Linked DNA regions of Tamandua tetradactyla. The main gene of each other region encodes a partner of the protein of the gene in region 3 in a complex. Links are inferred from orthologs where the notes say so. Each region holds a gene or a part of one and is shown on either strand. Other genes may lie near its edges.

Region 1 (10,605 bases), on a different chromosome or scaffold from region 3:
ACGCCACACAGATCCACTATGTGTCTGAGGAATGAAAATAAGATATTCAATACAATAGGGCTTTTCTTTCCCTTTACAAAACCTTATAGTTCACACATATTTCATACAGGTTTTACCTGAGGAAACAGAATACAGACTTTTCTGGCTTCGATCAGAGCAAGCTATTTAATTTAACAGTTAAAAACTTAAATTCTAGCATGTTTAACCTTTAGAAGATATTCTATATTTAGAATTCTGGGGTTTCTTGAGTCAAGTTCTCCTAACATTTCGCTAATAAAGAAAGATCCAACTTGATAAAGTGGACTACGTCTGGTGCCGAAAGTTGGAGGCTTCGAGTTGCAACAGTGACTTAGAGTCCCAAGCACATTCAGGCACCAGGACCCAAGACCAGAGGGTCCAAAGGTGCGGCCCTAGCCACCAGCATGTGGGCACATGTAAGAAGCAGCCCCCGAGAAGCCAGAGCAGCCCACAGAAAACTACCAGCAAGCTGTGAGCACTCTCAGCCTGTTCCATACTTGCTGGTACACCTAAATGAAAAAACCAGGTATTTTTGAATATTAACTCCATCTGACTCTGTGGGTTGGGATCCCTAACACAGAAGTTACCAGAGGCAAAAAAGCTACATGAAAAGGGGGAACTGAACAGCTGTGAAGCAGGGCTGACACTGGACAAAGATGCCCACTGTCACCACAGTACTGGAAGTTCTAGCCAGTGCACTTAGGCAAGAAAAAGAAATAACAAACATCCAAATTGGAAAGAAAGAAGTAAAACTTTCACTATTTGCAGATGGCATGATCCTATATATAAAAAGTCCTGAACAATCTAGATCAAAGCTACTAGGGCTAATAAATTCAGCAAAATCACAGGGTAGGAAATCAGCACAAAAAATCAGTAGTGTTTTGAAATGTCAGTAATGAGCAATCTGAGGAGGAAATCAAGAAAAAAATGCCAGTTGCAATACCAACTAAAATAAATTATTTAGAAATAAATTTAACGAAGGATGTAAAAAACTTGTACACACACAAAAAAACTACAAAACAATGCTAAATCACTTCCACTTAAGTGGAAGGACATTCTGTGTTCATGAACTAGAAAACTAAATATCATTAAGGGGTCAATTCCACCCAAAATGATTTACAAATTCAACACAATTTCAATCAAAATTCTAACAGCCTACTTTGCAGAAGTGGAAAGGCCAATTATCAAATTTACTTGGAAGGATAAGGGGCCCCATATGGCCCATGCCACCCTGAAAAAGAACGAGTTGGAGGACTCACACTTTCTGACTTTAAAACAATACAAAGCTACAGTGGTCAAAACAGCATCGTACTGGCTCAAGGATATTGACCAATGAAATCAAATTGAAAGTTTAGAAATAGAACCTCACATCTTTGACCAAATTATTTTTGACAAGGCTGCCAAGTCCACTGAATTGGCAATGTAATTAACACCACTGAATTGTACATTTGAAAAGGGAGAAATATGGAAATTTTACGTTGTACATAAGTTACCATACAGAAATCCACACACTAAGGAAAAGTGTTAACACAGGGAAACATGTGTGTGAGGAGAGTATGAAGGAACTCTGTATTTTCTGCATGATTTCTCTGTACACCTACAAATGCTCTAATAAAATATGTGTGTGTACAGGAAAAAAGGGAACAAAGGAATATGCTGAAGTGCTAAGAAAAACTATACTGAAATGTTACAGAATTATAAATTTCTTACTGTTCAATTTTATGAAATGCATTTGTGTTACTTTAACAGGTAAAAAAATGCATAGCATCTTTTCAGGAAATGAATTATAAATTCTCTCTAGGAAGAACAGCGAGTCATTGATACTATCAAATAGTAAACATTTCAATTTTCCTCAATCACCATAGAAATAAATACTAACCTTCCAGCTAGCAGTACAATGCCAATCTCCACTTTCACTTTTATCCCAGACCTGTAAGAAAATAAAATGCAGATAGTTTATAGAAAAATTCCTACAAATTAAGACTAGAAACCAGTACACAGGAAAAGGATGTGAAAAAAAAATTCACAAAAGAATACGTGTATGCAAGCATTCATTCATTCAATGAGATATTTACTGAGAACCTCGGCTGTGTCAGGAACTGGGCTATGCACTGAGCCTCAGACAGCTCAAGCTCTAGTATGCAATGCAGACAATGTACATCATACACAATAAATATTACAGCAGAACACTGGACTTAACAAACAACAAAAAATATATAGATTTCAATAACAAGGGGCCACTTTAACCTATTAAAAATGATTTTGCCCAACAGTCTATGAAGCTTTTAAATCAGTAATCTTACTGGCAGTGTAAAATGGTACAACCTAAAAAAGATGATTTGCCAACTCTTTTCAAAAGCCCAAAACAGTCACTAATTTTTATCCAGAACTAGCCTAAGGAAATTACCCAAAATATTTAAAAGCTAAGTTAATGTAGATTTTCATTGCAACATTCTTTCTGAGAAAGAAAACCTACCCACTGAAAGATCTACTGAAGGATCAGGTAATAAGTGAATAATGAAAAAATAACAGCCTATTTAGTTAGACATTAATTGAGCCATTGGGAATAATGATCATGCAATAATGGGGGAAAATATACTTTTGCATGAAAAAGTTACACATTTACCTATATTTACTACCATGACAGTTATTAAAAACATTATAGGAAAAGGCCAAGAAATCACTAAATCTCAACGAGTGATAAGTGACCAGTAAGCCTATAAATAATTTCTCCTCCTAAAAAGAAAAAGTATATTACTTGCACAACTTAATACAAATGTGTGTTGTGTGTGTGTAGATAAATAAATAGAGCCCTTCGGTAAGAAAAAGTACACTGGAAAAAATGGACATAAGGTCACAAAGTAATGAAACACTACCGAAATATATACACCTGCAATTCAATATAATTCCCACCTAAAAACTCTTTCAAGGAAAAACATCATTCTTATGCAATCTCTTTATAAACCAGTAAAACTGATCCCAAGTTGTCATATAGACTACAAATTCATTATTTAACTAATATCTGCAGATTATTCATGTAGGTCAATTTATGACGATTATATATGAGAAATGTTTCCCCAAAAGGTCTACTACATAGTTAATCCATTAACAATCTTTAAAAATGGTTGTGAACCTTTCGAAAGCTGTAATTGGATGGATTTGGCGGTACTTTTTTCAAAAAAGTAAAATTGCTATAATTTTATCTTTCAGACCACTGGTAACAAACTTCAGTGTGAAAAGCAAGAAGGAAAACCCTGCCTTTGGAATAGTGGAGAATATAAATAATCCACACTCCAGCTTCCTTCTTCAGATTTACTATCACACCCCGATAACTCCTATCAGATTCCCTAAATCCCAAATACGATCCGCATATTATAAAAAGTCAGAATAGTGCTTTACAAACATGCCAATTCCTACAGAGTACAGAACTACATCGAATTTTTCTTTCACCGCGAAAAATATGAAGTTCCTTTTCCCACCACAAATAGGGAACTGTCTGCCCAAGTGAGGATTACGCAGCTAAAACTCGAACCATGGAAAATACTTTCCTCCAAGTCCCTCGCCCAGCCCTCTCATTGAACAAATTCGGTGGATTAGGCCACCTACTGCCAGGTACTCCTCAGACTGACACGCCGCTATGAGGTACTCGACCCTAACGCTAGCAAGTAACTCTGTCTACACACTGGCGCGAGGCTCAGAGGCCGGAGGACTGCCGGGAGGAGGCGGGAGCACCCACGTGGCCAGGATGCCCCGCCCAATCCGCCAGCCCCGCCCACTCAGCCAGCCGATCCGCGCAGGCGCACAGGGAGCGCGCCCCACGGGGCAGCCGGGACCCCGCAATGCGACCGACCGTGGAGCCCTATGTTGGGCAGATGGCGGCCGCAGGCCAGGGAGGGTCTATCCGCCTCCCCTGGGCTCCAAGTCCCGAGCGCGGAGGCCCGCCAGGGAGTCGGGAAGCCCTCCACGCGACAAGTCGCCGCCCCAACGTCTCCCTGCTCGGACCCCGGGGCTCACGCCCGCTCCCAGCGCCCCCTCCTCGGGCATCGCCTCCGTGCGCACCTTGACGCTCTGGTCGCTGGAGCAGGTCGCCATCCGCCGCCCGTGGAAGTCGAAAGACACATCATGGATGAGATCTTTGTGATCCGCCGCGATGCTGCGAGCCACGAACATCGCGCCCGCCGGGCCCGCGCCTACCGCGCTGGCCCTATGCGCCCCCCAGGAAAGACCCCGCGCATTAGCGCGTGCGGACGCGCCACCCGCCGAGGTCCCGACGCCTCGCGCGCTCCCGCCGCAGACGCGCGCAAAGTGCGCGTGCTGCTGCGCGCCACCGCGCCCCGCCCCTCACCCCGGCATGCCCCGCGAACGCCGTAGGGCGTCGCTGCGTCTTCGCCTGGGCCACACCCCGCCCTTCGGCCCCAGCGTGCCCGGGGAACTCCGCCGGAACTTCCGCGTCTGCGCTCTGGGCTAGGCACGCCCCTCGGCCCCAGCATGCCTTGCGTGCGCTGCTACAGCTTCCGGGTCTGCGTCCCTGAATCAGACCTGTAGAAGTCGTGGTCGGAGGTTCCTGCGACTTCCAGGGACGCGTCTTATTTTGTTTTACATAATAAGAGCTCCTTGTTGAAGATCTGGAAATTAAGGAAGATGAGAAAGATAAAATACAGTGCATAGTCCTCCACCCTGAGTCAATGCCCGTCCACATTTCGGCGTTTCCTCCCAGAAACGTGCTAGGAAGATTCCCCGGAGATTCGGTCCCAGTGAAGCTTTGCTGGAGCAGGACGGGGTGCAGAGGTGCTGGAAGAGGCGGGCCGAGGCGTCCGCCTTAACAGCTGAGACGTGAAGCAGGAAGGTTAAGAGGGTCGAGGAGCAGGTGTAGTGAGAGGGAGCGTGAAGGCGGAAAGGGTCGGAAGTAGGAAGTAGGCAGAGATACTTGAATTTACTATACCGGAGACCCGGGTTCGATTCCCGGTGTCTGCCCGTGCAGAACGTGTGTGTGTGTTTAAATTTAAAACCTCGGGTAGTGCAAGTTGGGGGCGGTAGCAGAACGTGTGTGTGTGTGTGTGTATTTGAATTTAAAACCTCGGGTAGAGCAGGTTGGGGGCGGTAGTAAGACCCAAGAAGGAGAAGATGAGATCTTTAGAAATTCGGGTTCGTGGGGTGGAAACAAATTACTTACGCAGTTTGCAGGATCCAAAGTGAATTGGAGGACTTTCGACCCTGGAGCCAGAGTCCTCAACGGAAAAACAAGGGAAATGAGCAAAACGCCCCATAAGAAGAGGAAGCCTTGAACCAACAAGTGGAGGAACATTTTTACAAAGAGTTTAAAGATTTAGGGGATTTTTTCATTCAGGGAGAGGCATTGCAGAGGGAATACGGTAACATTAATTAAGAAAGGAAACATTGGAAGATTGGGTCAAGGGAGAGAAAGTCCAGGGGAAAAAAAATCGAAAACGAGTCCGCGGAAGGGGCTTGTATTTTGGATTATGGCCAGGGATGACAAGAATTCGAGGCTTGATGAGATCAGCAGGAGAGAAAGTTTTCAAAACACTTAGTCCCAGCTGTTCCCTGATGGATTTCACTGAAAGCTGCAAAGGGAGGCAGGGAGATGATCTAGACATTCTGGAATTTTCTTTATGAGACTTTTTTTAGAGTTACATAGTATAAGACTAAATGTTTATTGTAAGACATTTGTTAAACCACACGTGTATATAGAGTAAAAATTAAAGTTCCTTTTCACCCCAGGATCTATCCTCCCTTGCATAGGATAACCATTATTACTGTGTACTCTTGCACACTTTTTCTGTGGTTTTGCATATAGCTACCTAGTACTAGCATATGAGATAACTAGTACACAGAAATGTTGAAATGTCATTGGATTTTTTTAAATTGATACTTTGTCTATTTTTGCTTTTTAAAAAGTATCCAATAGGGCGGGCCACTGTAGTTCCGCAGGCAAGAATGCTCACCTGCCATGCCCGAGGACCTGGTACCTGCCCATGTAAAAAAAAAAGGTATCCAATAAATCTTGGAGAACTTTCCACGTGGGTCTAATTCATTCTTTCAGTCTTTTACCTATGCATTCCAAATTAAGGCTGAATTGTGGTTTATTTAAACATTCCTTTGCTAATGGGCAAGCATGTAAAGATCACTGTAGGCATGATTCATTTATTCATTCAGGTAGACGTGTGCTTCATTAGAGTTCTGAAGTTTTTCTTAATATAGTTTTGCATGTTTCTCATTTGCTCTATTAAAACTTTATAATTTTCCTGGCCATGTGTCTGGGCTCTGTCTTCCTATCTTGCTTATAAGGAACCTGTTAAATCTCATATGTTCATTTTGTGTTTGTTCCCTTATAGAAGTCTTAGTTCTCTTAGCTTCTACATTTATTCTTTTGGGTATTTAGATAAATAAGTATATTAGCTGCAAGTAATGACATAGATATTTTGTATCCCTCACTGTCCAATCAAGAAAACGATATGTACTCTAGCTATTTCAAACAGGAAATTTAACACAGGAAAATGGTTACAAATGTATTGGAAGGGCTAAGTAGGCAAAAAGGGAACAGGTGAGGTTATCCAGAGTGTAGTAACTGCAGGAAACTTCTTAGGGCTGGAACAGAGGGAAAATAGTTTTACCCAGGGCCTGCCGTCACTGAACCTCTGAGATTACTGATGTTGGAATCTTCATCACTGTCCTAGGAAGCCAGCAGCAGAGTTGTCCAGCTAATGCGGCAGGCATCTAACAGTGGCAACAGCTGAAGGAGCCGGTGCCCACGAGCTCTGGGCAGCTGAGGATCCTAGATCCTCTGCAGCTGCTCCTGCAACTCTTAGGATTCCACTGCTTCCACAGGAAGCAGGATAGCCAGGCTGACCCATTGCCACCACAGCTGCAGCTGAGATGTCACCACAGAAAGGGGGGAAAAGATTTCTCTCTTTCTCCTCCATTCCAGTAGCAACGTCTGGTTGAATAATAGTTGTAATCATGCTTCTCTTGTTCCTGATGTTAATGAAACTGCTTCTAATGTGGCATAACTTTTCAAAAGGTTGGATTTCTATTTCAAGCTTGCTAGGAATCTTCATTAGGTATTAGTGTTTATCTCTTTTTTCTTATCAATACATTAATAAATTTCTGAATGCTAAACCATTATTGTTTTAATACACTGCTAGTGATTCACTAATATTTAGAATTTTTGCTTCGATATTTTAAAAATATTTTTGGTATATATTTTGCATATACATTTGCATGCGTGCTGTTCTTGTCCTTTTATGGTTTCTGTATTATTTTAACCAGGCACAAGAGATTAGGAAATTTTCATATTTTCTCTCCTCTGGAACAGTTCAAATGACATGGGAATTACTATTCTGTGAACATTTTGAAATTATATCCATAGAATTATATAAGCGTCATGCCTTGCTGTTAAGGAGGTTATTGATTTTAACTAAAGTTCAAATGTATTTTGTTATTGGTCTTCAGATTTTCTACCTTTTCTCAAGTCAATATTGATCATCTTTATTTTTCTTTAAAAAATCATTTATACACCATCAAGTTATACATGATAATTTCTTATAATTTTTTAAAAATCCCCTCCATGTCTGATGTAATGCTTTTTTGTTGTTTACTTTGCTTCTGTCTTCCTTTTTTTTCTTAATGTTTTAAACTTTTTATTGAAGGTATTATATACTTTCCAAAAAGTGCCCATGTTATAAGTTTACAGCTCACAGAGCTTCCCACAGAATGAACCCAGAAGCTCTCCTTGTGCTTCCTTCTGGTCAAAGAGAACCAAAGATAACTTCTATCCTGGTTTCTAGCAGCATAGATTAGTTTCACCTAGTTTTATCCTTTATGTAAATGAAATTGTACAGTATATGCTCTTTTTTTCCCTGGCTTTTTCCACTCTGTATTTAGGAGATTCATCCCTATTTTGCAAATGTTCACCCATCAACTTACTGATGAGCATAAGATTAAGTTCCAGTCTACATCTGTTAAGAATAGTGTTGCTGTGAACATTCTGGTACCCGTCTTATGGTGAGCGTAAATGTGCTGTTTTCTTGGACATAATGCCTAGGACAGTAATTGCCAGATTATCGAGGATGCACATATTCATATTTAGTAGATACTGGCAACAATTTTTCCAGAGTGGTTGAACCACTTTACAGCATCCTAGCAGTGTGTGATCGCTCCTATGTCTTCACAGTCTCAGCAACATTTGATATTTGTCATCTTTTCATTTTAGTCATTCTGGTGGTTGCATCATGACATCTCACTGTGTTTTTTATTTGCACTTCTTCATTTTTTTCCCAGAGGTTTGCTTGTTATATTAGTATTGATAAGTTGGATGCTACTGACCAAGTCTCCTAGTTTTTCCTTTCCTATTTCATTCATGTCCATTTTACCTTTATTGGTACTAGTACTTTCTTCAGATATTTATAGTTTTCCTACTTTGTTTTGCTTTCAATCTTATTTCCTAGGAATATCAAACTTGTATATTTTCCTCTGAGGAAATGAATAGCAATCTTTGCTATTCATTTCTGAAGTGTGTCATTTGAGTTCTTGTTTGCTATTTAGCTCCATACTTATTTAGAAAATGTGTTTTCACAAGTGGAAGTTTTCCCTCTTTTGGCTGTTGCTTTTCTGTAGCTGTAGTGTGGATTTGCCTGTACCACAGAGAGTGCACAAGAGGACAGGGGCCAGCCCTGAGGACGCTAGTCCGGTGACATTGTCTACGGCAGCCAGTTAGGAAGCATAAAATTTACTGGCCAAACACAACAAGCAAACTCACCACCGTCCCCCTGTCTACATGGGACATGACTCCCAGGGGTGTGGACCTTCCTGGCAGCATGGGACAGAAATCCGAGAATGAACTCGGACTCAGCATCAAGGGATTGAGAAAAACCCTAGAATGAGCTGAGACCCAGCATCAAGGGATTGAGGAAATCCTCTTGAGCAAAAGGGGGAAGAGTGAAATGAGACAGTGTCAATGGCTGAGAGATTCCAAACAGAGTCCAGAGGTCATCCTGGAGGTTATTCTTATGCATTAAGTAGATATCACCTTGTTATTCAAGATGTAGTGGAGAGGCTGGAGAGAACTGCCTGAAAATGTAGAGCTGTGTTCCAGTAGCCATGTTTCTTGAGGATGATTGTATAATGGTGTAGCTTTCACAGTGTGACTGTGTGATTGTGAAAACCTTGTGTCTGATGCTCCTTTTATCTACCTTATCAACAGATGAGTAGAACATATGGAATAAAAATAAATAATAGGGGGAACAAATGTTAAAATAAATTTAGTTGGAAATGCTAGTGATCAATGAAAGGGAGGGGTAAGGGGTATGGTGTGTATGGTTTTTTTTTTCTGTTTGCGTTTTATTTTTCTGTTGTCTTTTTGTTTCTTTTTCTGAATTGATGTAAATGTTCTAAGAAATGATCATGATGATGAATCTGCAGCTATGTGATGATATTGTGAATTACTGATTGTATATGTAGAATGGAATGATCACGTATTGGGAATGTTTGTGTTTCCTGTAAATTTTTTTAATGTATAAAAAAAATTTTTTTTTAATTTACTGGCCAAAATGCAATTCCCTTTAAGTTTAGAAAAGTTTTGTTTTGTTTTGTTTTCTGCTGCTCGCATGTGTCAACACGCCAGGGGCCAGAGCTGGTGCTGCAGGCCTAACTAACCATCTGCAAGGTCTAGAGAGTGGCCAGTAGGGGGCATCACAACATTTTACATCAAACTTTCAAATGCCCTGTAACTGTGCAGATTCCTGGGTGTGAGCGACAACTGAAATTTAATATTTGGTGCTCTAGGACAGAACAGACAGCATATTGTTACTTTTGAAATGAAATCTGTATATTGTTAGTTTCTAAAATTCAACGCTGATTGGCTCAATACATTTGGAGTGCCCAGGACTAGAGGCCTCCGCAGAGCGGTAGGTCAGGGGATGTGCTCTGGGTCCCACACGCCAGAGTCCACAGTGAGGGGCTGAGGTCTACCCCCTTTGCAGTCTAGCTGGCCACAGGTTCCTGGGTGCAGGCGGAAGCCACATGATTACTCCCAACAAAAGTAGGACCAGGCTAGCCATGTTTTCTGACCCCGTTTCCCTGGGCCCCACTGTGACAGGTGTCCCCTGCCCACCCCCTGGGCTGCACTATAGGAAAGGCACCCAGAACTCACGGGACATGTGGCAGTGAGCGGTGGCCTGCCCATCACTGTGTTCCAGCTCTATCTTGCAGGCAAACCCACCCTTTGCTTTGACAAAGACACTCTCTTCTGTTTTCCAAGGCTGTGGGCTCTGCAAACATTCTTGAAAGAATGGTCCAGAACAAAGGGAAGCCAGTGCCTTGCTTGCAAGACGTGCAGAAATGTGAGAGCACTGTCACATGGAGAATCCTCTCCCAACCGAGAGGACGTGGAGGGTGAGGCTTGACAGGTTTGTGAAGGGAGATAGAGGCTCGGTCTAGAGTGAAAAGATGGCTACAGAATGGGGTCTCTAAGCCTGTGAGGATGAGCCTCGGCCCTCTGGGACTCTGTGTCTTTCCTGGCGTTTTCCTTCTAACCCTCCTAGAAGTTGGCTTGTCCTGTGTCCATCTGGA
Region 2 (9,961 bases), on a different chromosome or scaffold from region 3:
GCCCACGTTCAGAACCTTCTGGGTTATTCCAGAAGCAACAAAGAATGAATGCAGAGCCTTCATTCTTTGGAGCCAGGCAGCGCTGCACGAGATTCTTCCATCCATCACCTCTCAAAGCTTCAGTGTGGGCAAGGCCCCTCCGACTGAATGAGGCTCCAAGGACCACACCCAGCCCAGTCACTACAAAGTCCTTTATTAACAAGTTGATAAAAAAAAAAAGGAGAGAGAGCTGTAAAAATACTTTTCTTAGAGGCCCTGGGATGGGGAGGCACTGTGAGAACTCGCCAGGTGAGAGGGAAGGCCACTCAGCCAGAGGCAGGACCGAGACTGGAGTCCCCATGCAAAAGTGCAGCTGACCCACTGGCCTGACCCAGGGAAGGCGTGGGCCTCAGGCAGGGACTGTGCAGACACCGAGTCCAGCCCAGGGAGTGGTGACGGGTTGGGAGCTTCCAGCTGGGAGCCCTGAGCGCTGCATTCCTCCGGGGTGGGTAAGGTCAGGGCAGCACCTGCCCACCCCACATGTGGGTGCACACAGGTGTCCGGTGCCTACACGCAGCTTACAGAGAGTGGAACGAGGGGACCCCTAGGTAGGAATGAGGGGCTCGTCCTAAAGCTTAAGGAAATAGCTTAGAGAAGCCCCCAGAAGTCTGGGGGTAAGGAAGGAGAGCAGGCCCTGCCCTGTTCCTGCAGGGGCTCAGGAGCCCAGGGCCTCCTGCCGTCGCTGGAGAACCTCGATGACACTGCTGATACCGTCCTCAGGTACCTGCAAGCAGGTGAGCAGGAGGGAGGGGTCACGGAGGGCTGACCCTGGCCAGAGCTGGTGCGAACTGCTGGCCCAGCTGATGGCTCCCCGTGTCTCCCCCCACCCTGCCCCCACCTCCCCAGCCCCCGGTGCTCACCAGGGCATGGTCAAAGTTGAAAGTGCTAATGTAATAGGCAGAGATGTCGGCTGCAGCCAGGGGACCCGCGATCTGGGCAACAATCCCGCATTCATCTGAGGGGTGCGGAGGGGCACACGTGAGTCACCTTGCTTTCCCCACAGGCCCTTCCCAACCCCCCAACATGCGTGGAGTGGCCCTCACCGAAACCCAGGGGCTGTCCACCGATGCGTACCATCCTCCAAAGCTCCCCGGAGGAGCTGGTCAGCAGGAGGTCGCTGGGGAACCTGGGGAGGGAAGGCAGGCAGGCAGTGGGCAGGGCACCCCACCCCAGCCCCTCCCAGCCCACTCGGAGCCCCTGAGGCAGGACAGCCTGGTGACCTCAGAGTGTAACGCCCTGCCCCCTCCCTCCCCGGGTCTGTGGCCTGCCCAAGGTTGGGGGTCACATACTTTTTCTGCGTCTCAGCATCCATGACGATGGAGATATAACCCTCAATGAGGGAGAAGGCAAAGAAGGGGATGGAGCTGGGTTCGGGGCCGCCAGAGGCTGCCTCCTTTGGGGCACTGGGGAGGGACAGGAGGCTCAGGGGCTCTGCTGGGCACACAGCCCACTCCCATCTCTTCCCAATCCCCAGCCCTGGGAAGGGGCTGGCTCTGGGTCCCCCTGAGCAGGCCCCTCTGGATCTGGGCTACTACGTTATCCTTTCCAACAGCCCTGACCTCCTCAAGGTGCAGGGAAAGGACAACGAGCCCTGCCTTTGCCAAAGACAAAGGACCCTGGGAACAGGGGGTGCCTAAGCAGTGCCCGGGCTAGGGGATGGTTCTGCTATTGCAGCAGGAGAGGCTCCCCTAAATGTCAGTGAGGGCACTCGGGTGTCCCTGGTTCCTGGAACACCGCTACATAGAATAGGGCATGGATTGACAGCACCGAGGGGTTGGGTGGAAGGTGGTGGCTCAGAGCACAGGAAATAGTGGTTGGAGAACCGAGGGGGGAAAGGCAGCCGGGGGCCCACCTGTGTGAGTAGAAGAGGACGTCAATGAGGGTAGTGGCGATGGCTGGCAGAGTCTCGGGATCCAGGGTGAGGACACAGAAACGGTTCTGCGGGCTCTGGATGGGATGCACCGTGGGGCTGGGCCCTGCTCAGGAGGGACCCAGCAGCTGTCAACAGATGTCTGTGGGCTGGGGCGCCCCCTGGTGGCCGGTCAGGGAGGAGCCGGGGCCTGGCTTGGAGTCGTGCTCTCCAGGCACACAGGCCTGGATTCCCCCAGCCTCAGTCTCCCCATCTGGTGAAGCGGACAACGCCTGCTGGTCTCCCCATGCCCACAGACCCACCTGCCCAAGGGAAGGGGCCCCAGCAGGGTTTGGGTGTCAGGGGGTGACCCTCAAGCCCTCACCATGCTGGGCACGGGGAAAGCCATTGCTGGAATCGTCCCTGGCTATGGGCACAGGCTCTCCGCCCACCTCGCGGTAAATGTTGAACTCCTGGGCCAGCGTGTGGATCACCATGGACAGGTCCTGCTCCCGCACCTGGGCCACGAGGAGACGGCACATCATGCAGGTCCCTGGGCACCACTGCCCACCCTACTGGGCACCTGTGGGAAACTCACCAGGATAAAGTCCGTCTGGTAAGTGGACAGCATTAGCACGGAGACATGGTGCTCGGCCAGCGGGGTGATGACCGAGCGGGCAATTTTGGTGACCCCAGCAGCCTGCACCGCCGTGGCTGCATTGCTGTGAGATGAGACGTTCAGCACCAGCCATGTGGCTTCAGCAACTTGTAGGAATTCAGAGGGGGGCAGCTCTGCAGGCAGGGGGCACATGCCCGGTCAGGGTCTCAGTTTCCCTGTCTGTGCCTTGGAGAGCCCTGCCAAGGTAAGGGCAGGTCTGGAGACTGGGGCTGCCCTCCCCACCCCCCAAGTTCTGCATTTGAGATCCACATATATGCTATTACTGAAAACCATTTCAGGTGCTGGCCCACAGTGGATTAGAACTTCCCAATTAAAACGAGAGCTCCAGATTCAGATGGGGCCTGGGTTCAAATCCTACGTCACCATTTACTTGCTGTGAGACCTGGAATTAAGATATTTAACCTCTCTGTGCCTCATTTTCCTTATCTGTGAAATGGGAGAATAGTGCCTACACACGAGAGGGTCCTGTAGGTTAACAGAGGCTTTATACCACCTGGCACCACCAGGGGTCGCCAGCAGGTCAGGCTAGCCCGGAAGAGACCTTGCCCCTCCGCAGACCCTGGCTTCCCTACATTACAGACAGGGAAACAAAGGCCTGAAGCCCAGCAGTGGGGGATAAGTCAAATTTAAGTTGGCTGGTCCCGGTGGACTCCAGGCCTGTGAGGTTGGGCCAGGCTGACAAGAGTGGGAACCAGACATCAGCTCCAGGGTGCTGGGAGGGACCAGGCTGGCATCCAGTCCAGAGCAGGGGCCAGGCTGGGGGTGGCTGCTAATCACCCAAGCACAGCCAAGAGGCTCCCAGGACCCGCCCTGGGAGCTGCCTGATCCTGCATTCCTTCCCCAACCCTGTCTCCTGGAGTTCCCAGACCAGCGGGGGAGGGGGTGACCTGTACCAGGGAGAAAAGTCCAGGGGGGAGGTTATAACAGCTGCAGGAACCGGATTCTTGCCCAGAACTGTAACTGAGGGCCTACTGCAGCTCCTGGGCTGAGGCTGCTAAATGCCCCTCACACACAGCCCAGATTATAAAGTCCAAAACATAACTACATCTACTTTACATAAGAGGAAACAGGCTCAGAGAGGGGAAGTGACTTGCTCAGGGCACACAGCTGGTGAGTGGTAAGGACTAATCTAAATCCAGATCCATCTGCTTTCAAGCCCCCAGCTCCTGTGAGAACCCTGCAGAGAGGAGAGTGCCAGGATCCCTTTCCTGGGCTTCCCCTCTCAGCCCAGTCCCCACCTTTGAAGCCCTCTTCGTCCACCATAAGCGTGTAATCCTCCGGGGTCTCTGTCAGGCTGAAGAACTTGCACCTGGTTGGGGGATAAGCAGGGGAGAGGGGAGGAAGGACGCCTTCAGCCTGGAGTGGCCAGCTCCTGGTGAACTTGGCTGTAATCGCCTAAAACAGAGCCCTCGCCGGGCGCCCCGCTCTGGCCTCAGTTTCCTTCCCGGGGCAATGGGATGTGAGCGCCATCTCTGAGATCGCACACTGTTTTATGCCTCCCGACCTCCTTCAGGACACCCTCCCCGGCCTCTTCACTCACTCCCCTCGCATTCATTCCAGAAGGAGAGGCTCCAGCCCACGGCAACAGCCCCTGGGGACGTCGGACCTTGGGCCCTGTAGGACAGTCCCCTGACCCAATATGAGGTTTCTGGAAGAAGCTCCCCGCAGTCGCCAAGAAGAGGTGTCCCCATCTGACCCCGAGGTTAAGCATTGCCCACCACAGGCTGTTTGCGTCTTGAATGGCCCTGGGAGGGGGGCCTCCTGGGGCCGGATAGGCGGCGGTCCCGGGGAGGGTAGGCCCAGGCCGGATAGCGGCCGGAGAGGGAGGGCTCCCACCACGCCTGCTCCCGCCCGCCCCGCGTCTGTCCTAAGGCTCCCGACCCTGGCCCGGAGCGACAGCAAAGCCCCTCCGCCCCGATCTGAGCCCCAGAACCCGGGCGCGCACCGGCTGCGGTGGGGCAGGAACAGCAGTTTGATGAGTGGATGAGTGTAGAGCCAAAGACCCGGACGGGCAAGGCTCAACACCCGCACCCGGTGCTCTAGGATGTGCAGCTCCATCACAGTCCACGCCGAGCAGACCCCGCTCCTAGCCAGACCCAGGCCGCTCCGGGGCAGGACGCCGGGGCGGGACTGCGGGGCGGGACGGTTTAAAGGAGCCGCTGCCCTGTAGCATCCACGCCGCCTGCGGAGCTTCGGACTCGCCCCGCCCCGCCCCTGACGGCCACGCCTCGCTCGACGGGCGCCCTATCCGGAGTGGTCACGCCCCCTCATACGCCAGCATCTTCCCCGGCTTCTTCCAGCCGGACGGACCCGGTCTTGGCTGGCTCCGCCCCTTTAGCTTTGGCTCCGGGCTCACTCCACCCCTCCAAACACCGCCCCTGCCCGCCGCGCCCCCTCTCCAGGCCCCGCCCTTTCCGCTGGACACCCGCCTCGCCGGGGACGGCAGCGCCTCAAAGGTTGATGTCTTTCGTGCCCCTGGAGCCTGAAAATGGGTTTTACGGTTGAACCCACTGAGGCAAACCGGGATTCGTCTGGGACCGGAGCGCTCTGCGACCCCCTGGGACATGGCGAAACAGCGATCTGCTGTGCAGCCGGAGCAATCCTGCGACTCCCTCCCTCCAAAAAATGTCTGCGTCTCCTTTTTTCCCACCTTCCTCTCATCGGTCGGCAGGATGTAGGATCGCCAGTACTGGCCGGGGCGGGGGGTGACACACTTCGTCCCATCAGCAAGGGTTGCTGAGGATCCTTAGTGATACATAGCCCTCCCTACTTTGTGAGTCTGGTGAACGCGCTGATAAGAAACCTAGACTGGTTGGGATATCCCTACAACTGTTCCTCTTATCCAGCTTTCAGAGCAGAATGTTCCCCAGCAGTGGTCGTAGAGAAGGGGAGGGCCCTGTGCAACAATCTACTGAGCAGGGGGTGGAAGGTGACCCAGGCCTAAGGGCCCTCACGACTACCGAAATCCAGAAGTGTTGGCCAACAATGCCCAAGGCTCAGACTTAAGGGGTTAGACTCACTGGGCACTCAGGACTGAGATCTGGACCCTACTGAGGCCTCCCAAAGCCTGTGCTCATCAGCAAAACTCAACTGGCCTGAGCACATCCCACCTGGCATCAGGACCAAAGGGGACCTTCAGATGCCACAGTCTGGGGCTTGTTAGGGTCAACCTGAACTCATTTCAACCTTAGGACTGGGTTCTGCTCATGCTTCCTCAGACCTAAGAAGACCCCAGAGCTGAGCAGGCATCAGCATACCTCGGCTGGCCTTGGGACAGGGCTGAGCATCCTCAGGCCTCATATCTGAGCAGTTTGAGAATCAGTCCTGAAGAAGCTTTGAACCAATTAGGTTAAAGCAGGCCTGTCTGAGGCTCAGCAGGCCTGAGCAGGCCTCCTGCCTTATCTGGAGCCACCATTATAGGCAGATAGAAGTAAAGCTAAGCTCTCTCTGCCCAGATTTTCCAGCACAGGCAGTTCCTGCGGAACGCTGTGTAGCCACCACATCCTGATCTGTGTCCCCTGGAGGACTGGGGGAGGAGGGGTGTTGCTCAAAGACTGGGAACCCCAATCTCATCAACGGCAGGTGCAGATGGGGTAGGAAACCACAGGGAAAATGGGTGGGAAGGAGGAAGTGGGTGGTCTGCCCAATAGACCTGTGTGACCCTTGACCTCCCTAAGCCTCAGTATCCCCAGCTGTAACAGGACAACATGTTCCACACCCAGGGCCCTCTGATGCCTGAAAGCTCACAGGGAGGCCCTACCCCTCCCTCTCCTGCTCCCTCCCTCCTTCCCCACCACTAGGCTCAGTCTGGTCAACAGCCAGGAACAGTCGCTATTGTTTGACTGGGAAAGCTGCTTCCTCAGCAGAAGGGAGACCTCTCCCAGGGACACTCTGTCCTTGCCCTCACCCTAGCCAGCTGTCAGGCTGTGACCGTAGAGTCTGCTTGGGCCAGTGGCAGAGATAGGTTACCTTGTGACCCTGGTCAAGAGAGGCAATGGAGGGGCTCTGGGGGCAAATCTGGCCCTGCTTCCCTCCTTGGGGGGAAGGTTCCTTTTCCACTCAGATCCTGCTTCCTAATCTGTAACATGGGGATAATACTAGCTTACCTGGAAAGGCTGCAGTGAGGATAAACCATTCAGGTCTGTGGCCCAACATGCCCAGCTTGGCACATGGTGGGTGCTCAGTCAACTAGAGGACCCAGACTTCTCAACAAGGACTCAGACTTCTCTCCTCAGTCCCCTGCCTCGATGGAGGCCTGGCCTGAGCACATGAGGACATTCAGGGACTCCAATCCTGACACCAGTGCCTGAGTGAGTACTCAGAACTTCACTGGAGCCTGAAATGATGCCCAGACTGGGCCTTGGAGAAGGACCCTGAAGCTGCCTCCTTAAGGAGACTCCTCTCTCTTGGTGATGGGAAAGGACCATGGCTGGGATACTGGCCTTGCTCTGCCCCAGCCTGGGTTCCAGCGCCTGTGCCCTTCTTCCATGGCAGCTGATGGGCATGGGCCAAGGAAATGGGATGGGGGAAATGGGGCCCAAGAACAGGGGCTAGCCCTAGACTTGGCAACCCCTGTGGCATAAGTGCCCCTCGGAGGGGCACCTGGTACTGGGCTGGAAGGGGGCTCTGTAGGTTGTGGACCGGAGATTCTGGGCACCAGGTGGTTATCCCCTCCTAGTTCCTAGCTGTACACCAGCACTCTACACAAGCCTATTTATTTCTGTACAAAACCATGTTCCTATTTTACACAAAGAGCACCCTACCCTTCAGCCTACCTTCTCCCCTCAAGAGGAGAGGGCTGAATAAGGCCCCATCCACTTAGCTCTCACTTACGTCTGCCCTGGCTGTTTCAGCCTGAGCTCTACTCTAGAGAAAATAAATAAGAAGGCTCAGGCAGAATATGTACTGGGCCAGCCAGATTCCAAGCGGCCCAGCGGCCAAGTGGTTGTGCCTCCAAGGGTGGGCAGTCCCTGGAGTGTCAGTCCATGAGCCATGTAGATGTGAGGAGACCCCACCCCGGAGGGCGGACTGCAGTGTTACAAGTAGGTGTCTTCACTCTCCTGGGACGTCAGGCTCTCCTGGGAGTGGTGGTGGGCCAAGTCCTGTGGGGGGCATGCATCCCCTGCAGCAGCTGCCACCTCGGTTTTACTTGGGGCCGGAGGCTTGTCCAGCTGCCCACTTGCCTTCGATTGCTTCTGCTGCTCCTTCTGGACCTGCTTGAGAGGCTTGGACTTGGTTTTGGAGCTGGGGAGGGGGGCATCCAGGGGCAGGCGAATGGATGGTGAGGGCTGCAGGGCTGGCCGGGGGCCCGGCTCTGCCTCCAGGATGGCCTTGGCACCATGCAGTCTGGGCAGGGAGTGGCTCTGCAGCTCACCACGTGTCTCCTGCCAGCGCCTCAGCTGGATGAGATGCTCCCGCTCAATCTGGCGCTCGGTCACAGGTAACTCCACCACCTGTGGGGCAGTGACAGGCAGGTTGTCACCAGGGAGCAAAATCTTCCCTTCTGCCTCCTTGCCTGGGCCTGGGCTCTCCCTCTGCATTCCTAGCCCCGGCCATGAAAGCTGACCCAGGCAGAATGGAGTCTGGTCCCTGTGGTTGTCACAAGTCCGAGAACTGAGTGCCAGGTGAACAGGTACTTAAGACCCACTGCCTCAGAAGAGAAAGCTGCCCAACCTGTGATTCCACTTGTCTGAATCCATGGGAGCCAGTAAGGTAAGTGATCAGCCAGAGCACATTTGCTCTTGGCCAAAATGTCCTCTTCACTGCTCACATGAGCCCCTACCTAGTCTCTAATTTCAGCTCTACTACCTCTAGCTGGATGACTTTGGGGGAATCACTTTGTGGTCCTGCCCCTAATAATGCCACAGCTCTCACCAGCTGTTGGGAACAGTGAGTGCAAAAGTACAAAGCTGCTTTTCTGTCTCTGCCCCACACAGCTGTTACCTATCTCACTGCAACCCCTATAGGACAAAACTCCACAAGGAAAAAAAAAAAAAAACAGCCAATGCCATGAATATGGTACCAGGGAGGAAGAGGGAAGATGACAGGCCACAGCTTCCTCTTCTACATTCCCAATTGATTCAGAATAACAAGACAACCACTTCCTTGGTCAGGAAGGTCCCACACCTAGGCTTCTGTGTGCCCCTCTCCTCATGCAGACAGAATGAGAATGTTAAGAAGGTCTACCTCCTGTCCTGGGGTTGCTAAGCACCATGCCCAGCATGGGTGACCTGCCCTCAGGGGCAGAGGGTTGCCATGCTCCCCAAAGGATCCATCCTCCCTCCCAGTTATAAGGGGAAGGTGGGGGCCGCACCTCCTGAACCAGGAAGGCCTCCTGCATGATCTTGGGGCTGAGGCTCCGCAGCTGCTCGATCGTCTCATACTGGCCCTGGCAGGCTTTTAGCTTCTCAGGAGAGCCCAGCGCATGCTTCAGCAGCACCAGCCCTACCCGGAAGATAATCTTGACTCCTGCAGGATGGGTGGGTGGATGAGCACAAGGGGTCTTCTCAGGGTTTCTTCAGAAACCAAGGCCCCCCACTGTGGCTTGGGCTGAGGACAGGCGTGCTTCCCCCAGCCCAGCCCAGTACCTTCACAAAAGAACATGTCCCAGACACGCAGTACAGAGCTCCAGGGTAGGGTGCGGGCAAAGGCACACATGAACCACTCCGTCATGTAGAGCAGTGGGTCAATCTTCTGCCGGCTGAGGTGCTTGTGGGCCACAGGAGATACTTTCTGCAGCAGTGAGAAAAGGATCTCCCCGTCTAGCTGGATGGCCTCCTGGAGGGACAAAGAGGCCACAGGGCCATGACTGTGGGCTCACTGCAGCCAGAGCAGAGACTTCTCATGCCTCTGGCCTTTACTACCTGCTGGCAGAGTACCCACCTCTTGCTGGATGCTGGGGATGCTAAGATGAGCAAACTAGATCTAGCTGCAACAGCACCACCACCACCTCTGCTCCCCATGGAAATGAGAAAGGCACACATGAATCACATGAGCAAAGAGACTTAGGGCAGGGGAAGAATGGGGCTAAGTGCCCAGAACAAGGCAGGACCAGGAATGCTACTGGGCAAGCATGTGCTGGAGGGTCCCTGCCAGAGGTCAAGGGAAGCTCCCTGAGGACTGAAGCGGAGGGAAAGGTGGAGTTGTCAGGGTAAGGAGATGGAGGAGGGGGAAAAGGAGGTTCCAGGCAAAGGAAACAGCCCATGCCAAGGCCTTGAGGCAGGAAGGAACTTGGTGTGCGGGAGGAACTGCAATCTTGCCTGTGTGGCCAGAGTGGCCGGAGGCAGAGATGGAGGAGAATGTGGAGCCGACGAAGCTGGAGATTCAGAGCCCTGACCCAGGAAGGCCTTGGGACTTCAGCCTGAAAGTGACAGAAGGCTGGGAAGATTTTCACC
Region 3 (10,888 bases):
TCAGCAAAATACAGCAAGCTGTACTGAACAGCACAGTAACAAAATTCTACACATGATCAAGTGGGTTTTATCTTAGGTATGCACAAGTGGTTAAACATAAGAAAATCAATTAATGTAATTGACCTCATTAATAATAAAATGAAGGAAAAAAACACATCATGATCTCAATTGACATAAAAAAGGCATGTGACAAAATCCTGCATCCTTTCTTGGTAAAACACTCAAAAACCTAATAATAGAAGAAAGCATGATTAAGGGCACATATGAAAAGCCCACAGCTAACCATCTTACTTAATGGTGAAAAACGGAAAGCTTTCCCCTAAGATGAGGAGCAAGACAAAGATGCCTACCGTCTCCACTATTATTTAAAATTGAACTAGAAGTTCTAGTCAGAGCAACCACGCAAGAAAAAGAAATAAAGGAAGAAGTAAAACATTCACTATTTGCAGGTGACATGATCCTATACGTAGAAAGTCCTGAAAAATCCACAACAAAACTAGTAGAGTTAACAAAAGGATTTGGCAAAGGGATGGGGGTACAAGACCAATACACAAAATGCAGTAGTGTTTCTATACACTAATAATGAACAATCTGAAGAGGAAATTAAGAAAAATTTCCATTTACAAAAGCAACTAGATGAATCAAATATCTAGGATACAAATTAACTAAGGACATAAAGGGCTTTTACACGGAAAATTAAAAAACACTGCTGTAAGAAATCAAATAGAAGGATATTCCATGTTCATGGACTGGAAGAATATTATTAAAATGTCAATTCTACCAAAGCATATACAAATTCAACTCAATTCCAGTTAAAATTCTAACAGCCTTCTTTGCAAAAAAGGAAAAGCCAGTGATTATATTATATGGAAGGGTATGAGATCCCAAACAGCTGAAACCATCCTGGAAAAGAACATATTTGGAGGACTCACATTTCCCGACTTTAAAACTCATTACAAAGCTACCATAATCAAAATGGTGTGGTGTTGGCACAAGGACAGACATATAGAGTAACAGAATTGAGGGTTCAGAAAAATAAACTCTCTCATCTATGGACAACTGATTTTTGAAATGGGCCCTAAGTCTACCTCATGGCCAAAGAATAGTCTCTTCCATAAATGGTGCTGAGGAAACTGGATATCCATATACAAAAGAATGAAGGTGGACCCCTACCTCATGCCATATACAAAGATTAACCTAAAATGGATCAGAGACTTAAATAAAAGAACCAAAACTATAAAACTACTAGAGAAAAACAGGGAAACATTGTGTTAGGGAATGGCTTTTTAGATATTATACCCAAAACACAAGCAATAAGGGAAAAAAATAGATAAACGGTACTCCATCAAAATTTAAAACTTTTGTGCATGAAAGGAGTTTATCATGGAAATAGAAAGATAATTTGCATAATGGTAAAAAAATGTGGAAATAACTAATAATGATTCAAGATCTAGAATATATAAAGAAATCCTACAACACAAAAATGAGAAGACAAACAGCCCAATTTAAAAACAGGCAAAAGATTTGAACATTTCTTCAAAGATATATAAATAGTCAATAAATAGATGAAAAGATGCTTATTATCATTAGCCATTAGGGAAATGCAAATCAAAACCACAAACTGCCTATTTCCCATCCCCTAGAATGGCTACTATTAAAAAAAAACAACAACAGAAAAGAAGTGTTGGAGAGAATGTGGAGAAACAGGAAGAGTCATTCATTGTTGGTAGGAATGTAAAATAATGCAGCCGCTGTGGAAAATAGTCTGGTGGATCCTCAGAAAGTTAAGTTTAGAAATACCATATGATTCAGCAATTCCACTTCTAGGTATATACCCCAAGAATTGAATGCAGGTACTCTAAGATATCTTTTCACACTGATGTTCAAAGCAGCATTATTCACAATTGCCAAAAGATGGAAGCAACACAAGTGTCCATCAGCAGATGAATGATTAAACAAAATATGGTATGTTTATCCATTATAGTGGAACATTAGATAGTTGTAAAAAGGAATGAAATTCTGGTTCATGGTATAACAAGGACGAACCTTGAACACGTCATGTCGAGTGAAATAAGCTAGAAACAGATGTACAAATAGTATATGATTTAGCTTAAATGAAATACCTAGAATAAGCAAATTTATGGAATTTTTAAACTACAGTGCAGGTTACCAGGGTCGGGGTGGGAGCTGGGAATGGGGAAGTCATGCTTAATCAGTAAAGCGTTTCTGGATGGGAGTATGGAAAAATTTTGGTAATGTTTGGTCATGATGGTAGTACAATATTGTGAATGTATTTAACATCACTAAATTATACATTTTGAACGTGGTTATAAGGGAAAATTTTGGGTTGTAATATATTCCCCGAATAAAAAATTAAAAAAAGCCATAAAACCATATAACACAAACAGTGAACACTAATGTGAACACTAAGGTGAACTATAGATTGTGGTAAATAGTATAATTACAATATTGTTTCATCAACTGTAACAAAGGTGCCACATTAATGTAAAATGTTAATAGAGAAAACTGTGCATGAGGGGGGTTAAATGGAGACTCTCGGTATGATTTTTCTGTTAACCTACAACTTCTCCAATTAAAAAAAAAAAGTTTAAAAAAATGCGGTATGAAAACTTGATGCCATGGAAAAATCTCCTCTTACAAAACACAAACAGAAAGTGTCACTGTAATTTTTAAAACTATTTAATTTACATGACTCTCAATGGAGAATCACCAGAATTTCTTCTGACGTTATATACTTACGATATTACCATCAACCAAATTTGATAATAGTAACCTGTACAAAACAGAACTTGAGAGGGAGAGATTGGCACACCCTCGGTTCATGTAGGAATAGGGTGAAGACCAGCATATTTTGGCTCTTACACATCAGAGACAGAATCAGCTATATAATGTGCCAAGCCCAGTAAAAATGAAAATGCAGGGACCCCTTGCTGGAAGACTATTAAGTATTTCAACATGCCAAAAGCAGAGCATTAAATCAAGCACGATTCCCTTCTAAGGGTGGAACCCTATGAGGCTGTCCAGGTTGCGCACCACGAAGCTGACATGGTATAAAGAAGTGCTTCTATAATGACCCTCTTAACACAGGCATTTCTTCACAATCCAACACACAACATAGATGAATCTTCATTCATGAATGAAGACAGCTAGGAATTCAGTGTAGAACAAAGAAAATTGAACCTGTAATGAGAAGACCTCTAGTTACTCTGAAACTAAAACTTTGACAAGACCCCTAAATTCCAAGACACGAACTGATAGAATCAACCTTTCCTACTTACATTTTTAAGTAGTCACAACAATGAAATGAGCTCTTCACATCACACAGATGTTATCACAGAAGTTAATGTGTTCAAATTTTAAAGACATTGAAAACTTGGAGGTTGAGGAAGTGGAGTTCACCTAAAATAGGGCTTATATTTTTATACTTTCACCTTCAAAGTTTAACGAGTGTTCACTTCCCATCAACAGTTTCTGAGCAAAAGAAAGCCATGCCGATTCCATGGTCATCATCAGAACATCTACTACAGCATTGTGCAACTAAAACAGTGAGAGTCGTATAATTTAAAACTTGCTAGCAGCCACATCAAATAAAGCAAAAATAGATACAATTCATTTAAAACATATATTTTATTTAACCCAATATATAAAACATATTATCCTTTCAGCATTTAATCAACATAAACATTATTGAGAATTTCTATTTTTTTTGTACCAAGACTTGGAAATCCAATGTGTATTTTACACTGCAAACTCTCTCAGCCCCACGTGGCTAATTGGACAGTGACGATCTATAATACTAAGCGAACAAAGTTAGCCAATCAACCTTTCACATCCTTTTTTTCTTCTTTCTTTCTTACCACGGCATATTACAACAGCAAGTTTCAAATTCCCACCCCCACCAGCTTCATGGATCTGCACTATACAAATTCAAATTTTCCCTTAAAATGTAATTATACAAAAGGCCTGCAACTGCAGTCATTTGTTAAGAAATGTAGCAATGCCCATGGCATACGCGACTGGCTTTACTCGTCATCTTAAGAAATTTTAATTACTCGTATTTGAAGAGATCAGAGCTAAATGCCCGGGTGGTAGGCCCTTTAAGAAGTATTTAATAGTGTACACTGGAGCAGGGCTTGTTAATATTCCGGGTAAACCAACACTCTGAGGAGACTCCCACGCTCCAGACACCTGGCTCAGTCTCTAGTCAAAGGCGGCGACGCGGTTCTGAACAAACCCGCCGAGGCGCAGGCTGAAGTGCAGCCCGCCGCGCCCCCGAGGAGGTCCCCGCGCGCCCTCTGGCCGCTCGCAGCCCCCGGCCCCCTGAGGCCCAGCGTGGTTATCCCGCAGAGGGGAACGCAAATCCCCGGAGCTCAAGCGCCCGCACCGTTCAAATGGGTTTATCCAAGCCCGTCACGGCGGCCGGAGCTCCCGAGCCTTCGCCCCCGGCCTCACCGCTGGAAGCGCGGACAAGTGGCCCGGGCCGCACTCACTGACCTGAGGTGGCAGCGGGGCCGCTGCACAGCCACTTCCGGGCTGGTCGCCGCCCCTCCCGCCGCGGGAGCCGGCACGCGGGCAAGATGGCGGCGGCGCGGCTAGTAACCGGGGCCACACGGCCAGGGTTCACGAGACCAAAGCCGCATCTCGAGGCCGCGCCAACCACGCCTGGGCCTCGGAAGGTGGGTTCTCGACGCACGAGTCCCGCCCCACCCTCGCCCAGGGAATCGCCCCGCCCTTAGGCGGGGCGGAGCCGCTGCCTGGGAGGCCCCGCCTTCTGGCCGAGCGCCCCTGCCTTCCCTGCAGGCCCTGTCCCGCCCGTAGAGCCCGCCGGTGGAAACTGGGAGTCTTGGACTTGGATTGCACCCCAGAGCCCCTTTTTATCGATTTCAAAATCAACTCACACACTTAAGCACGTTCAACAAATTTTAGTTTTTATTAGAAATTTATTGTGGGCGATGTAGTTGAAAGTCCAAGGTATTTGATTCAACACTTGGTCAACTCGTTCATTCATTCCACTAGCGTGTCTTGGGCGTCTGTTCTGTACTGTTAGGAAATGCTAGGGGTACTGGAGTGAACAAAAATAGACATGGTCCCTGCAGAAAACTGACTATTTGAGTGGCGCCTGAATAGGGCTGGCACAATGCTGCACCGGAAGAGCGCCCCTCAGTGTTGGGGATTCAGGAAAGCTTCCTCGAGGCACCACTAGGCAAAGAAATGAAGGGTAAATATGGGATCAGCCAGGAAAGGACGAGGGCAGAGGGAGATGGAGAGAAGAGTTTTTTAGCAGGAGGAAGAGCAAGTGCTGAGCCTGAAGATATAGCAATTGAGAAGCAGGACAGAATGTTCTGAGGTTAGAGTGAGTAGCGGAAGTGGTGAAATGGAGAAAAATTAAGATGCTGCATCAGGAAGATGTTTGGAAACTAGTTTAGGGAGTTTAGATGGACTTTTTCCTGAGGGCAGTGGTGGAGCTATTAAAGGTTTTAAACCAAGCAAGTATGATTTAATCAGTTTGGATGGGAATGGGGTTATAGCCGACAAGGAGAGGGAAAGGATAAGTATGCAAATGAGAAATGATGGTGGCCCAAACTAGCTGGGATGAAGAGAATTAAATATTTAGAAAGCAGAATGAACAAAGGCTTGATGACTGAGTAACTGAGGGAAAAAAAGGAGTCCTGAATGGTGACCAGGTTCTGGTTAACAGATACTGGTGCATCCATAGGTGTTACAAGACCAACACAGAGGTTTTCTTCAGATGTCTACAATTTTTACCTGTTTGTTCATACTTAACAGTGGATGGCCTTTGGCTCATCTTGGTGATTGATGTAAACACATAATGAACTTAGTTCTGATGATCTTCAAGGCAGATGGTTTTGGTGAGAAATGATGAATTAGGGGAGAGTATTGCCTGTGGAGGTCTGAGGTTCCTTTTCACTGCTGCCATTGGAGGAGCGAGGGCAGAAGAAGGTGCTGTATTGAAGGGAAATATCATAGGAGTTATCACCTCCAACACTTTCTTGCCAATCCTCTCAATAGTTTGGCCCTGGCCCCAAACCTCCACACAATACAAGACTCAGATCAATACAAGACTCCTCCTTACCCACTCCTCCTACATACATGCCTGAGCAAAACCTTTACCGTCAAACTCAGATGACTTTGCCTTCTACTTCACAAATAAAATTGACGATTAGATAGGAATTCCCACAGCCCCATACTGCTTCCTCTTTCCCTCCTCCAACATCTTCATTCACTCCCATTCTTACCTTCTTCTAGCTGACCGAGGAAGAGTAGGAACCCCATATATTTCTGCTCTTCTGAGACCTTTAGCCATCAATTTTCTCCTCTTCTATGTGTCTTCAATCTCTTCATTTCTACTGGTTCTTTCCCTTTAAAATATAAACATTTTCAAGTCACTCCCATTTTTCTCCTCAAAGGAGATCAGACTTCTTCTCTTTAATGCCACTTCCTATCTCTCTTGAACTCACTCTCCTCAAGCTTTCATTTACACTGCTCCACAAAACTGCCCTTGTCAAAGTCACCAATGTCTTCCACACTATCAATTCCATTGGCCAAGGTTTCACCCTTGTAGGTTTTGACACTCTTGACCACTTCTCTCTTGAAATATTTTCTACACTTACTTCTCTGTCACCATTCTCCTTTGTTCTCCTTCTGTCCCTATGACTACTATTTCTTGAGCATGGCAAGTGTACTCTTGTCTCAGGGCTTCTGCACTAGCTGCTCCCTCTACTGGAATGCTCTTCCACTAGAAATCTGCATGACTCACACTCTCACTTCATTTAAATCTGTTTAGTTGTCACTGATTATATATAAGTTAACTCCTCTGTCCCTCTCCCTTAATTTTCTGAAAAGCATTCATCACAATTTCACATACATATTCACCTTTTTACTTGCATTTACCTGTCATCTCCTTCTGGAATATATACTCTACATCCCCAGTTTCCATTCTTTTCCTTTACCTCCAGGTTTAGGCAGGGCACTTGGTGACCCAGCTAGAAGCTACTTTTCTTGGCCTCCCATCTGGCTAAACATGACTCTGTCAAAAAGTTGTGAACAATAAGTTGTGAGAATTTCTGTATCATATCCCTTAAAAAGGAAGCTGTTTACCATCTACTTCCTTTTCTTTTTCCTGCTGTCTAGGAAATGGCAGAACAAAACAACAAAACATGAACCAAAATGAGAACTATTTAATGAGTGAAAGGTCTCAGATTACATTGGTTACCTTTATAAACACATATATTGTAATAGATATCAGAGTTGCTGTAGTTAAGCCCCAGTGTTTTATTTATTTATTTATTTATTAAACTGTTGAGTTCTTAAGATGTTGTCCTTTTTAAGCCCCTTCATTTATTTTATGGAGTAGGGGGGGTTGTTGTAGTTTTAAACCAGTAAAGGATAGTAGTTGAAGAACTGCAGTTACTGGGACGTTCTGTGAAGTCTGTGGTTGACTAATCCCAGCTACCTTTACTTCCACATACGCAAAATCAGTCTAAACCTGAGAGCAAGTTTTTTTCTTAGGTGGAGTCTGAGTAGGCATCAAACCAAAATCAAAGCCCTGTAAATATGTTACATGGTAATTGTGGTAGATGAAATTATGTACCCCAGTAAAACACATATTCTTAATCTTAATCTGTGTTCCTAAGGGTGTTCCACTGTAAAAAGGAACTTTTGAGGATATTATTATTAAATTGTGGCCAAATTGAATTGGGTTGGGGTGGGGGTTGTCCTTAATCCATATTATTGGAAGCTTATAAAAAGAGGAAATTCAGATGCAGTTAGTCAGAGAAAGCCAAAGGAAGAAGCCAGAAGTCAGCAGAAACCAGAAGAACAGATGCAGTAAGAGAGAGATTGCCCTGTGACTGAAGCAGAGATGGAAGCTGAGGAAATCTAGTGATTGTGGCAAACCAGCCCCAGAACGCTATAGACTCTGGGAAGAAATCATGACCTTGCTGACATCTCGATTTTGGACTTCTAGCCTGAAAAACTAATAAAATAAATAATAATAAATACTTGTTTAAGCCAGCCCATTGACTTATTTTTAATAGCAGTCCTGGGACGCTAAGGCAGTAATATTTTTACAAACATCGAGGACGAGAAATTCTGAGATACCATAATAGTGATCTTCAAAAGTTTTCTAGCATATTCCCAAATAAATTTTGTAAATAATTGCACTTTTTCTTACATTTTTAGTATTCCGTCTAATATTTGTCATAATATGTTTACATATGAAATTTTTAATATTTAAATTAATTAATTAAATTAAATTAATAGTTATACCACTCTTTAAATGTATCAGGAATAATTTAAGTACCATTGTATTTGTTGATTTCCACTATCATTCATTTTAAAAATGTATGAGTAAGCTATTCTTTGATTATCAGAAAGTTTACATTATTCAGTTTTTTTCTTCTTGAACTTGTATTTTCATTCTATTTTCTCCCACTGAATTATTTTTGTTTGTTTAACAAATAATTATATACCATCTGCCATGTGCCAGATAATTTTATAGTGTAAGACTTATTTAACACTCTCTCAGGTTGGGTTTCCTGGGTACCAGGCTAAAAGATGGAGATTGGGATGTAGAATGCTTATTAGGGAGTGTGCTTGGGATCAACATTTTATGGAAGGGAAGGAGAAGAAGCAGGATTGGGCAGAGGGAGAAGGTGAGCTGTGATGAAATTCCAGCAAAGGCCTTATTCTAGTTTCCTAGTTGCTGGAATGCAATATATCAGAAAAAGCATGGCTTTTAAAAAGGAGAATTTAAGAAGTTTCTATTTTACAGTTCTAAGGCTGAGAAAATGTCCCAGTTAAAACAAGTCTATGGAAATGTCCAATCAAAGGTATCCAGGGAAAGATACCTTGGTTCAAGAGGGCCAATGAAGTTCAGGGTCTCTCTCTCATCCGAGAAGGCACATGGTGAACACAGTCATGGTTTCTCTCTCAGCTGGAAGGGCACATGGCAAGCAAGGCATCATCTGCTAGCTTTCTCTGCTGGCTTCCTGTTTCATGAAGCTCCCTGGGAGACGTTTTCCTTCTTCATCTCCAAATGTCACAGGCTTGTGGGCTCTCGTGGCTATGTCATTCTTCTCTGGCTCTCTCTGAATCTCCCATTCTCCAAAACGTTTCCTCTTTTATAGGATTCCAATAAACCAATCAAGACCCACCCAAATGGGTGGAGACATGTTGTCACCTAATCGAGCTTAACAACCACTCTTGACTAAATCACATCATCCAGGGAGATGATCTGATTATAGTTTCAAACATCCAGTGTTGAATAGGGATTATTCTACCTTTATGAAATGGGATTTTGATTAAAACATGGCTTTTCTATGGGGCATACATCCTTTTAAACCAGCACAGGCCTCAACCAATCCACTGGAAGCTCTGGAACTGGACTGACTTCAGAGTTGTCCCGAGTTGGGGCAATAAACCCAGGCCTTTATATTACCTCATTGATGTAGATGTGCTATTGGATTTGAGCTGCCCTTTGAAGAAGGTATGACTTTGAATGAGGCAGCATTCCCCAAAGAGAATTGACAGCTGAGGGCTATCTGCTGGCAGCATTCCCGGCAGCTGAAGGAATACATTATTTATTACTGAAGAGGAATCTGGGATGTGTATTACATAGTCCAACACATCGTCATCACAACTTCATGAGGAATATACTATTATTTCCACATTTTACAGATGAAAAACGGAGACACAGAAAGAGTAAGTAAGTTCTCTGAGATTCTCCTACTTTTAGATGGTGGAGCTTGGATATGAACCCAGGCAATCTTACTCCAGAGTCTGTGATTTTAACCACTGGATCATGCACTAGCAAATGGAACAGACATTTAATATCATTGTATGTAGTCACTAAAAATAATTTTTAAAACACATGGCAAACTTTTCCTTTAAAGGGTCAAATTGAAAATATTTTCTGTTTTGCAGGCTATACCTCCTCTATCACATCTACTCACCTCTGCTATTGTAGTACAAAAGCAGCCATTAAACAATACATAAAGAAATAGGCATGGCAGTGTTCCAATAAAATTTTATATTCATTTGCTCTTGTAGAAAAATATTTTAAAATAGAGGAAATGCCCATTTTTTATTGTTACAGGAATAGAATAGTTCTAAATGGAATAAACATAATAAACTTAATTTTTTAAAAAAGACTAGAGGGACCAAATGTTTAATAGTTGATATCTCTGTGTGGTAGGTTTAAAAGTGAATATTATTTTCTTCATTACAGTTTTCTGTATTGTCTAAAATAAAGATGTTAAACTCTTATAATGAAAACAATAACAACAATAAGAATGAATGTTATTTTAAAGAACGTAGTTGGAGAGATTAGGATCCTAAATTCCATAATGATAGACACATCATAAGCCTATACTCACAGAGTTTAGGTAGAAATAATAAGGCTCAAGGTGCTTTATTAGCTAGGCAGTTTTAGGATGATAACTGCAGCACTGGTGATGCTAACATTTCCTGCTTTGCTCACTGCAGGGTAACTTATAGCATTTTGGAACTGAAGCACTTAAGCAGCAGCCATCAATTTTTTAATGTCAAGTATGCAACGTTAATCTGAGTTAAACCATAGTCATAGCCATTTTACTATGTGGTCTCCTTCCCTCATTGGACAGGAATTGAGTAAATCACATCTGGGATTTTGAAATAAATGATGTGGCAAAATTCTGCCAATCTCTCTGGTCCCATAACCATTGCCCTAATTTAGGTCTTAATTACTACTCACCCAGACAGTGGTCTCTAAACAGGCCTCTGGTTCCCTATTCTTAACTAGTACTCTAATCATCTCCTCTGTGTGACTAGATTGATCACACAGATCTAAAGCACAGCTCAAGCCATC

The links.
Region 1: the proteins of MIOS (region 3) and SEH1L are in contact, whole or in part, in a cryo-EM structure (PDB 7UHY), measured with the Homo sapiens proteins. The link is inferred for Tamandua tetradactyla from reciprocal best matches to the Homo sapiens genes MIOS and SEH1L. Residues at the interface, in NP_001357005.1 of Homo sapiens: Arg279, Arg316, Ser317, Phe353, Glu354, Arg355, Ile356, Ser357, Leu358, Ala359, Trp360, Pro362, Leu366, Met367, Trp368, Ala369, Cys370, Gly371, Arg372, Leu374, Tyr375, Glu376, Cys377, Thr378, Glu379, Glu380, Glu387, Asp389, Ile390, Ala391; in NP_112493.2 of Homo sapiens: Met1, Phe2, Val3, Ala4, Arg5, Ser6, Ile7, Ala9, His11, Lys12, Asp13, Leu14, Ile15, His16, Asp17, Val18, Phe20, Phe22, His23, Gly24, Arg25, Met27, Trp47, Ser173, Ser174, Ser175, Asn230, Leu231, Gly232, Arg233.
Region 2: the proteins of MIOS (region 3) and CASTOR1 are in contact, whole or in part, in a cryo-EM structure (PDB 9LVK), measured with the Homo sapiens proteins. The link is inferred for Tamandua tetradactyla from reciprocal best matches to the Homo sapiens genes MIOS and CASTOR1. Residues at the interface, in NP_001357005.1 of Homo sapiens: Ala83, Asn84, Val109, Pro110, Lys111, His112, Ala113, Arg114, Asp134, Lys135, His136, Arg137, Asn184; in NP_001032755.1 of Homo sapiens: Val94, Ser116, Thr117, Tyr118, Gln119, Thr120, Asp121, Thr188, Tyr236, Leu255, Thr256, Ser257, Ser258, Ala295, Tyr296.

What each region holds. Positions count from the first base shown.
Region 1 is NC_135344.1:76,893,635-76,904,239, reverse strand, and holds the start of SEH1L (nucleoporin SEH1), read right to left. Parts: upstream 4,318-10,605; 5' UTR 4,189-4,317; coding exon 4,078-4,188; intron 1,949-4,077; coding exon 1,898-1,948; intron 25-1,897; coding exon 1-24. UniProt on the Homo sapiens protein: Component of the Nup107-160 subcomplex of the nuclear pore complex (NPC). The Nup107-160 subcomplex is required for the assembly of a functional NPC.
Region 2 is NC_135331.1:32,612,944-32,622,904, reverse strand, and holds CASTOR1 (cytosolic arginine sensor for mTORC1 subunit 1), read right to left. Parts: upstream 4,748-9,961; 5' UTR 4,626-4,747; coding exon 4,513-4,625; intron 3,877-4,512; coding exon 3,806-3,876; intron 2,744-3,805; exon of another isoform or gene 2,700-2,743; coding exon of another isoform or gene 2,681-2,699; coding exon 2,487-2,680; intron 2,407-2,486; coding exon 2,274-2,406; intron 2,016-2,273; coding exon 1,892-2,015; intron 1,443-1,891; coding exon 1,329-1,442; intron 1,166-1,328; coding exon 1,083-1,165; intron 995-1,082; coding exon 900-994; intron 764-899; coding exon 695-763; 3' UTR 173-694; downstream 1-172. Other genes in the region: TBC1D10A (TBC1 domain family member 10A), read right to left, coding at 7,604-8,020, 8,881-9,035, 9,155-9,344. UniProt on the Homo sapiens protein: Functions as an intracellular arginine sensor within the amino acid-sensing branch of the TORC1 signaling pathway. As a homodimer or a heterodimer with CASTOR2, binds and inhibits the GATOR subcomplex GATOR2 and thereby mTORC1.
Region 3 is NC_135327.1:117,442,417-117,453,304, forward strand, and holds the start of MIOS (GATOR2 complex protein MIOS), read right to left. Parts: upstream 4,719-10,888; 5' UTR 4,516-4,718; exon of another isoform or gene 4,406-4,515; intron 1-4,405. UniProt on the Homo sapiens protein: As a component of the GATOR2 complex, functions as an activator of the amino acid-sensing branch of the mTORC1 signaling pathway. The GATOR2 complex indirectly activates mTORC1 through the inhibition of the GATOR1 subcomplex.